3 linked regions of the Mus musculus genome follow. The protein of the gene in region 2 interacts with the protein of the main gene of each other region in a pairwise test. Links are inferred from orthologs where the notes say so. Each region holds a gene or a part of one and is shown on either strand. Other genes may lie near its edges.

The links. The genes of interacting proteins can lie anywhere in the genome.
Region 1: the proteins of Xrcc4 (region 2) and Aptx interact in binary tests that used the Homo sapiens proteins (3 or more experiments, as listed by UniProt). The link is inferred for Mus musculus from reciprocal best matches to the Homo sapiens genes XRCC4 and APTX.
Region 3: the proteins of Xrcc4 (region 2) and Aplf interact in binary tests that used the Homo sapiens proteins (3 or more experiments, as listed by UniProt). The link is inferred for Mus musculus from reciprocal best matches to the Homo sapiens genes XRCC4 and APLF.

What each region holds. Positions count from the first base shown.
Region 1 is NC_000070.6:40,693,195-40,696,694, forward strand, and holds part of Aptx (aprataxin), read right to left. Parts: intron 2,230-3,500; coding exon 2,183-2,229; intron 1,943-2,182; coding exon 1,658-1,942; intron 256-1,657; coding exon 196-255; intron 1-195. UniProt on the Homo sapiens protein: DNA-binding protein involved in single-strand DNA break repair, double-strand DNA break repair and base excision repair.
Region 2 is NC_000079.6:90,086,809-90,090,927, forward strand, and holds the start of Xrcc4 (DNA repair protein XRCC4), read right to left. Parts: upstream 2,801-4,119; 5' UTR 2,689-2,800; intron 2,672-2,688; exon of another isoform or gene 2,202-2,671; intron 1-2,201. Other genes in the region: Tmem167 (protein kish-A precursor), read left to right, coding at 2,973-2,975.
Region 3 is NC_000072.6:87,641,162-87,644,661, forward strand, and holds part of Aplf (aprataxin and PNK-like factor), read right to left. Parts: intron 855-3,500; coding exon 729-854; intron 1-728. UniProt on the Homo sapiens protein: Histone chaperone involved in single-strand and double-strand DNA break repair.

The DNA of each region.
Region 1 (3,500 bases), on a different chromosome or scaffold from region 2:
AGTGTGGGTATAGTATAACATTTAGAGAAGAGACCAAAAATGTAGTGTTAAGTGATTCTTGTCCTCATAGACCAGTGCAGTAACAGAATCCCACGAGGAAGAGCTGGCATCCTTTGGCTTCATCTATAGTTACCACGTTAGTAGCATGCTCATGGACTCTATGACAGACACTAAAGTATACAATTTTATTCTGACCTGCATTTTGGGGTCTTTCATAGACATCTTCAAGCCTTGACTCCAGTGGCCCAGTGATTCCTAAATAAAAAAACAATGTAAATGAGAATGCCAGTAATGAAATGTAGCTAATACTACTTATCAGCAGCGTCCAAATGAAACATGGAAGGAAGGTTAGCTTTGAGAATGACACTAGGCTTCCTTTGCTTCGGCCCATCGCCCTTTAGGACCACAAGCTTCCCCACCATCTTCTACATCTAGACCTGGGTGTAAGGATGGAGGCCTGCCATGGAACTTTGTCCAATGTGCAAGGATTGCTACCTTGACTAGGAGCAGCTAATATTACCTGAGTAAGACGGTGGCAGTACTGGGCCAAATATTCACTTACTGGGAGATGGACGAGGAGGGAGGACACACAAGCAGCTATCAGCTGCTGGAGAGGGAGCCTCCTCTCTGATAGAGTAGTCACACTTAAGCTGCCCAGGCCCCTGTAACCACGATTAGACTCGATGGTTTACCAACTTAAACTTGGGTGGCATGGTTGGTCTGTCATTAGTGCCATATCTGGGATGAAGAGAGATCCATTCACATCTCCCCAGGAAAAGCTCCATAAAGCCAAAACTGCCAGTTTTAAATCGTCCTCCTTGCCTGCTTACACTCCAGCTGCAGCCTACCCAAGTGTCTCCTTTGACATCAACATGTGAAAAACTATCTATGAAGGCTTCAGTGTTAACCGGTAGGTAGACAGGCAAATGACCCATTTTAGTATTAAACGTTAATTATACTATAATGGGAATAGATGTGTAAGGAGTGGATGAAGTCCTGAATGAATGTGTGTTGTTGCCATGACCAGTCATGGAGAGAACTTCAGTGCCTAGATGGATAAGGCCCAGAGGGATGACAAACCCCTCCTCTGGTCCAAGTGGTTATAAATGGCTAGCTGTGCAGTGCATGCAGAAGCCGTCAATCACAACTCCTCCTGCAAGATGTTTATAGCCTGAGACTGTTCCCTTACAAAGACCTCCTACCAGAGTTACCTAAACCTGTCTCCCTGTTCAGCTATACACAATAAAGCCACCTCCTCAATTCAGATGTATAAAACAACCATGCTGAGTTTCCGGGCTGTTGGTGGTGCTGCAGCTCCATTAGGTAACAGAGCCTACCCATTTCCAGCTTCTCTGTATGTGTGTCTGTCCTTTTTTCATTCCCTCACTAAGCTGGGCAGGGTGTGTCACACTGTCATTACTGACTGCCCTGTCTTTCTTCAAGTGGTTTACCTCAGGAACTTAATAGAAAAGAATCTAAAGGGACATTCACCAAGTGATTTTCAGGCCACAAACAAGTGACTCTTTCATCATGGTTAAGAACCCTCATTAGATTAATACCATCTCACTGTGTACAAACAATGTACCGTGTACACAACAATTAAGCAGTCATTATGTCAATTCATCTCCACAGCATCTTTCAAGCACACCATTCTCACCTTTTTGGTGGCTCCATTCTTGTCCTTCTTAGGGGACACAGAGCACTGGCTGGGGCTGCTCCCAGGTGCCAGCCCTGTCCCAGACTCAGCTTCCATCTCCTCACTATCACAGTCTGACCTCTTTCTCTTCCTCTGTGTTAGGTTAGGGCTCTCTGCCACTTCCTCAAACTCTACGATGTATGGATAAAGTCCATTCACCATGTGGAGAACCTGACCAGGCAGCAGCTTCTTCTCTTGGTCCTTCCCGATGACGCCCGAGTCAATGCTGGTGGGGTTGACCCCCATCTGTGGATACACCGTTATAATGTATAATGTATAATGTATAATGTATAATGTGTAATAGCAGTAATGCCATTGGTGATAGAGCTGGTGCTATATTAACTGCTTACTCTACCTGCCTGGCACTCACTCTATCACTTCCCCATGACAGAGGAGCGTTCATCAGCTGACACAGACAGTCGAAAGCAACGGCATAAGAAAACTATCGAGTATAAAACTGGAGAAACAAGGCGCGAACACACATACCTGCTGTACTTTGACATATCCCTTGTTACACTCTGCTTTCAACTGTACTGAAAGAAATAAGAAAAATTAAACACAAATGCAACCAAAACTGGGTACTCTGCTGTCCCCAAAGGACAACAAAGCTTGACTGCTGCAGTCAACCCCCAGCTGAGCCTGTTCTGCTTGTGCCTGGGCCTACAAATCCTACCAATTTCTAATAGCTTCAAACCCTTCCATAAACTGTCCATCAGCGAGCTGGCCATGGTGGAAATCTCAGACTTGGAAAGTAGAGTCCAGATTAGTTCAAGGCCAGCCTTGGCTGCCTAGCCAGTGTGTGAGGTCAGTCTGGAATATGTAAGAATATCTTAACTGCTCATGTGCAACTGCTCATGTGCAACTGCTCATGTGCAAGCACATGCATGCGCGCGCGCACACACACATATTATATTAGTGCATGTATTCTGTTACCTACTGCTAATATTCTGGCTGAAACCCTGGGGTGGTGAGGGGAGTGGAGGCTGGAAAGATGGCTCAGTGGCTAGTAGTACTCACTTGCTTTTCCCAGAGAGCCTAAGCTTGGTTCCCAACACTGGGCGGCTCATTACCACCTCTCACCCTAGGTCCAGAGCAATCTGACGCCTCCGCCTCCACAGGGAACTGAAGTCAAACATACACCCACACAGATACACATGTAATTTTAAAATAATAAAAATAAATCAGAAAAGCAAACAAGTGCTCAGTGTCTTTCACTCTTTGAAGCTGGTTGCAGTGGCACACACCTTTAAATCCCAGCACCTCAGAGGCAGAAACAGGAGGAGCTCTGTGAGGTAGAGGCCAGCCTAGTCCATATAGTGAGCTCCAGGACAGCCAAGGCTACAAAGTGAGCCAGAAAGAAAGAGAGAAAGAGAGAAAGAGAGAAAGAGAGAGAGAGAGAGAGAGAGAGAGAGAAAGAAAGAAAGAGAGAGAGAGAGAGAGAGAGAGAGAGAGAGAGAGAGAGAAAAAAAAAGAAAAAAAACTGTGAGGCAGCTTTCATGAACCCCTACGGACCCCTAGGCAGCTCGGGATCACAGACTGCCAACAGGAGAAAAGCTCCTGCTCATGATTAGATAAGCTCCTACTATTGGGGAGAAGGAGAACCTACCTAGAGCTGGGGCTGAAGCTAAAGTAGGAGAGGGCTTCTCTAGCATGAGCTTCAAGACAAGGAACATTAGCATCAAGTGACTTCAACAGAGAAAGAGGTAGAAGATAGGATCTCGGGAAACAGAAGTCCAAGCTAGCCTGAAGAAAGAATGTTCAAGAAAGCAATGCAGAGCCCCAACTCTAAATCCAGAACCTTAGG
Region 2 (4,119 bases):
GTGACAGCAGATGCTGGTGAGGTTGTGGAGAAAGAGGAACAATTCTCCATTGCTGGTGGGATTGCAAGCTTGTATAACCACTCTGGAAATCAGTCTGGCAGTTCCTCAGAAAATTGGACATTGTACTACCGGAGGATCCCGCAATACCTCTCCTGGGCATGTTCCAACTGGAGCTGAGAGGAAAGGATGGACCATCCAGACACTGCCCCACCCAGCCGTCCATCCCATTATCAGCCACCAAATGCAGACACTATTGTACAGGGGAAACACCAGGGCCAAGAAGTGGGAGTTGGTGGATAGGAAAGCGGGGTGAGGGGTGAGGGTATATGGGACTTTCAGGATAGCATTTGAAATGTAAATGAAGTAAATACCTAATAAAAAATTGGAGGAAAAAAAAGAAACCTCAAATAATATCAGTATCAGAAATCAAAAACAAATGGGAAATGTAGAGAAAGTGGCCTGGCTGCATAAGAAACTAAATGAATTTTAAACTTTTTATTGTATAAATAGCATCTAACAATCAAACAATTTTCCATCATTAGCCCTCCACTCAAGGATGAAAATTCAATGTTCACTATAATGCTTACAATGTATCAAACAGGTTTTAATTATTTATATGTATTATGGCCTAATTTATATGTAACTATGGCCTAAGCTCAATGCACTCTTACAAAAACTATAAATTTCTCATTTTATATACAACTCTGGATTTTATGAAATGAAAATTGAAAATATTCTTCCACATTCAGAGAAGACAATAATGTCTGCATAATTGAATAACACAGTCAAGATCTTTTCTTAACAGTAAATTAACCCATGATGATTAGAAATGAAAATCACAGCAGAGCTACTAGAAGTGGAAATAAAGAAAAGGAATTTAACATGGTGATTACCATTCACTTGCAACAAAAAACACAATCAAGGATTTTGTGTGCCGAATCGCCATGCAGCTTCCCCACAGGTCACACTGGTATATTAATTTTGCTATTTTACATGGATATAATAAATTTTTTATATATGTATATGTATACACACACACACACACGTTCAACTCTACCTCCTGACACTATGTACTTCTATGGATAACTTAAGAATTGAAAAGTGTTGCCAGCAGTGGTGGTGCACGCCTTTAATCCCAGCACTTGGGAGGTACAGGCAGATGGATTTCTGAGTTCGAGGTCAGCCTGGTCTACAGAATGAGTTCTAGGACAGTCAGGGCTATACAGAGAAACCCTGTCTCGAAAAACAAAACAAAACAAAAACAAAGAACTGAAAAGTGTTAATTGCCTCTATTCTAAAGTTGAGATATATAAGAAACTATGGCCTAAATTGCCCATAAATACAACAAACCAATTACCATCTTAAACAACCTTAGCCTCTTTACTAGAGCCTGGACCAGAACCTCATACAGAAACATCAACCTGAAGTGTCAAACAGTAGGACCTAGCAATCTTTATATGAATAGAGTCAGTTATAACATCTACCAACACTTTCACTACTGTAAAACCCAAACTTACTGAGCTCAGAACATATTTTCTACGTCTACATTTGAAACATTCATGGTTAGTCAACTTAAATAGTAAGTATAACACAAAGCAATTTTGAGACTATTCAATGACAATCACTTCTCCTATTGGCCTAATCCCCAGTCCCCCATTCAAATACTCAAAGAAATCCCTTGTCCTGCAGTCTCCTGATACCACTAAGATGCAGATTCTGAACTTGAGTATTTGATCAACAGGTTTAGCAGTTGGGTATAACTGATTTTAAAAATGTAGTAATAATTTCAAATAAAATCTTGGATGACAATGCAGTAATAAACACAATCACATATAGCATAGCACTAGGTAAAAGTACTGTGTTGCCATAAGTACTAGATTCTCATGATTCAGCTAAATAATGGTTAGAAATTAACATATCACATCAGTTTCCTTCACTAAAGCTTTCTATACTTCTTCTAGGTCATTAAGTTAAAGAATGGGTAACATTCTGAATAAATACTAGAGCCATACTGACTAAAGGAAAAAAACAATTATTTAAACACACAGGATTTCCATAATTTTGATACACTTGGAAGAGTGGGGAAAGTGCCCGACTTCAGAATCATTCCAAGAATGTATATAAAATTGAACACATCAGATTACATCTTCCCCGTATCTACAAAACTCATAAAGAGAACTAGAGGTGAAATCGTTTCTCACCCACTGGTTTTATACTAGCCAAATAATCCCCTCGGGAATGGGCCGTTCCTTTCCAGTAGCTACCACAGAGTTCTTTCCCTCTCCCCACGGCCTAGAACGTCTAAGCCCCGGATGTAGAGTGTGCAAACAAGGAGGGGGCCAGCCAAGGCCAGCATTGGCTGGCGGGAGGGGCTGGTGGGTCATCACACTGGACGCAGCCTTTTAAATCCAAGTCTCCACCACAGAGCAGCTCAGCACAGTTCCAAGGAGTCCCTCACGACTGAAAATTCCACGTGACACAGAAAGAGACACTTAGGAAGGAGCCCAACAGGTGCTCACATTGGGAAAACCTTACATCTACAAAAGGCTCAGGGGGTCACAGACAGGGTAAAAAGCACGCACTGCGCAGCTTTAAAGCTAAAATCAGGGACTACAGGAGGTTGACATAGAAAGGGGGGAAAAAATGCATTGCTTCTGGAAAGACACCACAGCCACTTCCGGGCCCTACCTCTCAGTACTCCACTTCCGGTCTTCTAAAAATTGTGGACGCCAGAGATAAACCGATGCGCCCAATGAGAGAATCCGCTAATACCGTGGTTTGCGAGTCGTCGGCCAAGTCCCACCTCTTCCGGTAACAGAAGCCTATCACGGAGTCTGAATGGTGCGGCATGGGCGGAGGCGCCGCGATAGGTCCAACCGGACCGCTGGAGCGAGCGGGAAGCACAGCGGGCCTGCATCCTCTTCCGCCCCGGCCCGGAAGGGTGATGTGGCTGGACCAGCACCGGCCTCACTATGGTAAGAACCTGGGCTTCCTGGCCGCGGTTGAGTTTCTCGGCGGGGCCGCGGCTCGTGCGGGGCGGCGGGGATGGTGCGGGCGCTGTGGGGCGCGGGAGCCCTGGCGCTAGCGTGATTCTCCGGGGATCCGAGGGTGCACAGGCTGGGAGTCATGCGGCCGCGATGCACATCCCGGAGCATCAGGCCAACAGTCCTAGGAAGAACCCGGGTGGTGGACTCGGCCCCTCGCCAAGAGGCCGACTTGCTGCGTTGTTTAGTGTGGAATTACGGTGGCATTCCACTAAGCCGATTGCCATCTGCTACAAATATCTGGACGGATATACACTTTCAAACGCTGGAGTCTCAGTCTCCCCCTTTCCCCTTTCTTTTATGTGTTCCCTGTGTCACCCAACCTGCATCTTTCTGCAGTAATTAATGGATTGCCGGTTTTCTTAACACTAGATACTACTGCTTCCGTTTTACCTGTGGAATCAATGGCGAGATAGGGCCCCTCCCTCATCGTTTTTTCAATTCTAAAGACACTTCTTTGCAAACGAATGTTTTTAATGATTTTAGTTACTGTCTCGAAGGAACTTGAGCCTTACTCGCAGACCACCACTCACTTTGGGAGTTCCTATGCGTGTTATTATTGATTGTTTAATAGTTTAAACCTCAGAAAACCTTACACTATAAATCACAAATAGCAACAACAACAAAGGTCAGGACAAGGAACAGAAAGCCCCTGAGTAAAGTAAACATTAGTAATTAACTTTTAAAGATCTATGAATGCATCTTTTCAGTAGTCTGGTAAATGCAGGAATCTCCCTTCACTATCACTTCAGTGGGTTTAGAAGCCATTTATAACTATATTTCTAGAGAAAGCTTGTTGTGTTATCATCTCAAAATCAGCCAGGACTCTCCCACCCCCACTAGACCTCAAATTCTACGATTAGAAGATACTGAATTTGAGTCCATTAAAGCCTTTTTTTTTTTTTTTACTTCGTACTGCAGATAGTATATTCTTGGTCAAAAGGATGTTAATAAACAGTTACAGAACTTGAAAAGTTGCTTTCTTGCCTATTTACCGAGAAACAAGTAGAATGACTTTGCTCTTAGTCAAAGGTACATTTTACATCCTCTCCTACTTAGATAAAATCAAGATAAT
Region 3 (3,500 bases), on a different chromosome or scaffold from region 2:
GCTTGGAGCATTTGCAGAATACATGCGTAAGTGCCCTGCTCTGCTCAGTACAAACAGGCTATCTGCATCAACTTTATGGTAGCCAGAAGATTCAGTCTGTAACCTGTACTCAAGATCACCTAGAAACAAACCGCTGTCTGCAGTAGAGTTCCTTAGGTTTGTTTTGTACTTGATTTTGTACTTTGGTTAAGTTCAAGTTCATTCACCTAATAAACAAGGTTTCAAAATACCAAGACTCCTTTCTGTCAATGTAACGTGCATGCTGCCTGGGTGGGGAGACATTCTGGTCAAGAAAGACTGTGGTGTGGAGAGGTCTACTCAGCCTGAGGAGGAGGCGACAGCATGAACGAGCAAAGGGAAGGCTCCCGAGTTCTTCAGCTGTGCCTGAGTTCTGGGTGTTGGCAAGAGGAGTAGATTAGTAGAAGTTGAGGAAGCAGAAATAGAAATTAAATCCCCAGTAGGCTTATATCACACCTCAGAGTCTTCATAGAACATGTATTAGGATGTCTTATAAGTTAACCTGATTGCATTTTAGACAGAAATACAGAAAAACTTCAGTTACCTATAAGATTAACAACAATTTAGGGTTACATGAGAGAAACTCTGTGTTCCACATAAACTTAATAAAATCTATGCTGTAGGCTTGAGATGGGGGCTCCAGTCAGGCCGTCTGAGCTGGCTAAGAAGCGATTAGGGAGAAGGGCAGCCACATGGCGCAGCCTCCTTACCTGTAACAAGACGCTCCATAGGGACACTCGGGCCTGTCACCAATCACACCTTCATCTGTGCCATGTACCTCTCCATAGTCACTGTCACCAGGGTGGCTGAAGTGTTGAAAGTGGAGGGGGTTCCTCCTGTGAGGACGATAAACTTGCTGTCAGAGGAAAAACAATAGGAAGCTATGGGTTTGTAATGGCTGTGAGCGAGGCCAACCAGTATCTTTATTCCAGAAAGAAACCAAATTCCCATGTTGATGACGTAAACACAGGTGAGATCCCCATGCCATGTTGTCCACCAACTTGACATCTGGTTGCTGGAAAATGGTCCAGGAACGCCGTCCTGTGAGAACAAACACTGCGAGGAAACAGAGTCTTGTAGTTTCAGTTTATTCAAAACACAGAACTGATCTTGAAGGTGCGTCTGTGCTCCTCCCAGGTGTAGCAGGTAAGAGTGAGGTTACTTCCAATCACTCATTATTGCTTGCAGCTGCCAGTCAATGAAATGTTTAGAATATCCTTTCTACCTCTATGGAAACACGTTTTCGCCGTGTGCAGCCAGTTCTTGTAATTGTGTTCAGACTGAACTCTCGAGAACGTAACTCCTGTGGCCTTTCTTACCCCACAGTACACACTGTCTAGGGTTCTGAATAAAGTCGCCTACCGCATGAGACTTTGGTCCATTTCAGTATGGGCTTCATTTTCCCAGGTCCCTTCCTCTCTCGAGCAGGAACACTGAGTCAGCCCAGGACTCTCAGTGTCACATGATCAGTGACATGTATAAAAGGTCGATTGTAAGCATTATATTGTTCATGTAGGTATACAACAAACATAAGCATCTATAGCCTTAAAAGACCGTGCATCCTATGCTAAGATAAAAACATTCAACATTCTAGAAAGACCCAATGTTTCTGATCTTTAAACTCTTTTGCCTACACAAAGTATACTATCCTGTTTTCTAAAACTATTTTCCAAACTCTTTGGTTCCGGCCTCTCTTATGGCCTTAAAATTTATTACTAGAATTTGAGTGCCCTCTGATTATGTGGGGGGATTGCCCTGTATAAATTTAAAATGAGAAATAAGAAAAGTACACTTGTTTATTTAAGATAACAGTGAAAATGTCTTTTCACATATTATAAATAACATCTTAACATCTTTAAAAAAAATCTTCTTTACGTTTATTTATTTATCTATATGGGGGAGGGGGAGTTCACTCTTTCCCTGGACTATGTGTGTTTTAGGGACCCAACTCAGGTCATAAGGCTTGGTGGCAAGTGCCTTTACCCACTGTCTTGGTTTGCTTTCTATTGCTGTGATAAGATGTCATGACCAAACATTAACTTGAGGATAAATGGGTTTATCTCCACTCACAACCTAAGAAGGTCACACTTCATCCTGGAAGGAATCAGGGCAGGAATGTTGCTTACTGGCTTGCTCACCCTTCAAGGCTTGCTCAGCCTGCTTTCTTATACAACTCAAGACCACCTGCCCAGGGTTGACACTGCCCACAATGTGCTGAGCCATCACACAGCAATCAATCAAGAAAATGTCTCACAGTCTCACCCATAGCCCAACTTCATGGAGGTATTATTTCTCAATTGAGGCTCCCTCCTCTCAAATGACTCTAGCTTGTGTCCAGTCGACAAAATTAATGATGATGATGATGACGACAACAACAAAAAGAATTATCTAGCATAGCCATTGAGTCATCCTACTGGCCCTTATATACTCTTTAATGCCAATATAAAATTCATGAAGATGTAATGCATGCTTAAGAAAAGGCAGTTGGCTTTTCCTTGTTTCTGCATTTGATCATTAACAACAATAATGTTCTGTGGTCTCTAGGGAATTCTACTGCATACTTATGAGAACCACATTGTAAGCATCATACCATTTGCAGAGAAATGGAGGGAACTGCAAACCATCGTGTTATGTGAAATGAGTTAGACAGAGATGGACAAATACTACACTTTTCTCAGATATGGAACCTATACTAGGGGGCAGGGGCAGGGAGGACAGGCGTTTCGGGCCATTAAACTACAAAGAGGCTGAAGAGGGAGTGGATCTTCAGGCAGAAGTGAAAGAGTCAGGGTGAGGTAACAGCCGTGGAACGAGAGCAGGAAGGGGTTATTTGGGAAGGGAAGGAACCAGCAAGTTAGGGGAGGTAAGAGTTGCACAGAGAGCTGGGCATGGTGGTGCATGCCTTTAAGCCCAGAACTCGGAGTCAGAGGCAGGAGGATCTCTGTGAGTTCGAAGCCAGCCTGGCCTTCACAGCAAGTTCCAGGACAGCCAGACCTATACCATATATAGGAAGACTTTGTCTCAGAAAACAAAAAGGACAAAAACAAACAAACAAAAAAACAAAAACAAAAACAGAAAACAAAAAGGAGCACAGAGGACATCAGAGGGGATACATTATAATAAATTATAATAAAATATATGCAAATATCATAGTAAACCCCATTTGTATATTAATTTTTAAAAATTTAAAACACAAAACAAAGAGGAACGTAAATTTAGAAAATATAGAGACTTGGAACACTATCCATTTGATAGAAGGGAGAGTTTACAGCAATAACACGGAGGCTGAAGAACAGGTAGATTTTTGTAATGATTTTATAGATATGTACATGTGTGGGTATGGGGTATATCTCAAATTCAAAATGCCATTCTCCCCCCACCTTGTTCATAAATATAAACATTTCAATGAAAGTTACTTCTTCTCTTTGTTACAAATACAAACATTTTGATTTAAAAAAATTTCAGGCATTCTTTATTTCAAA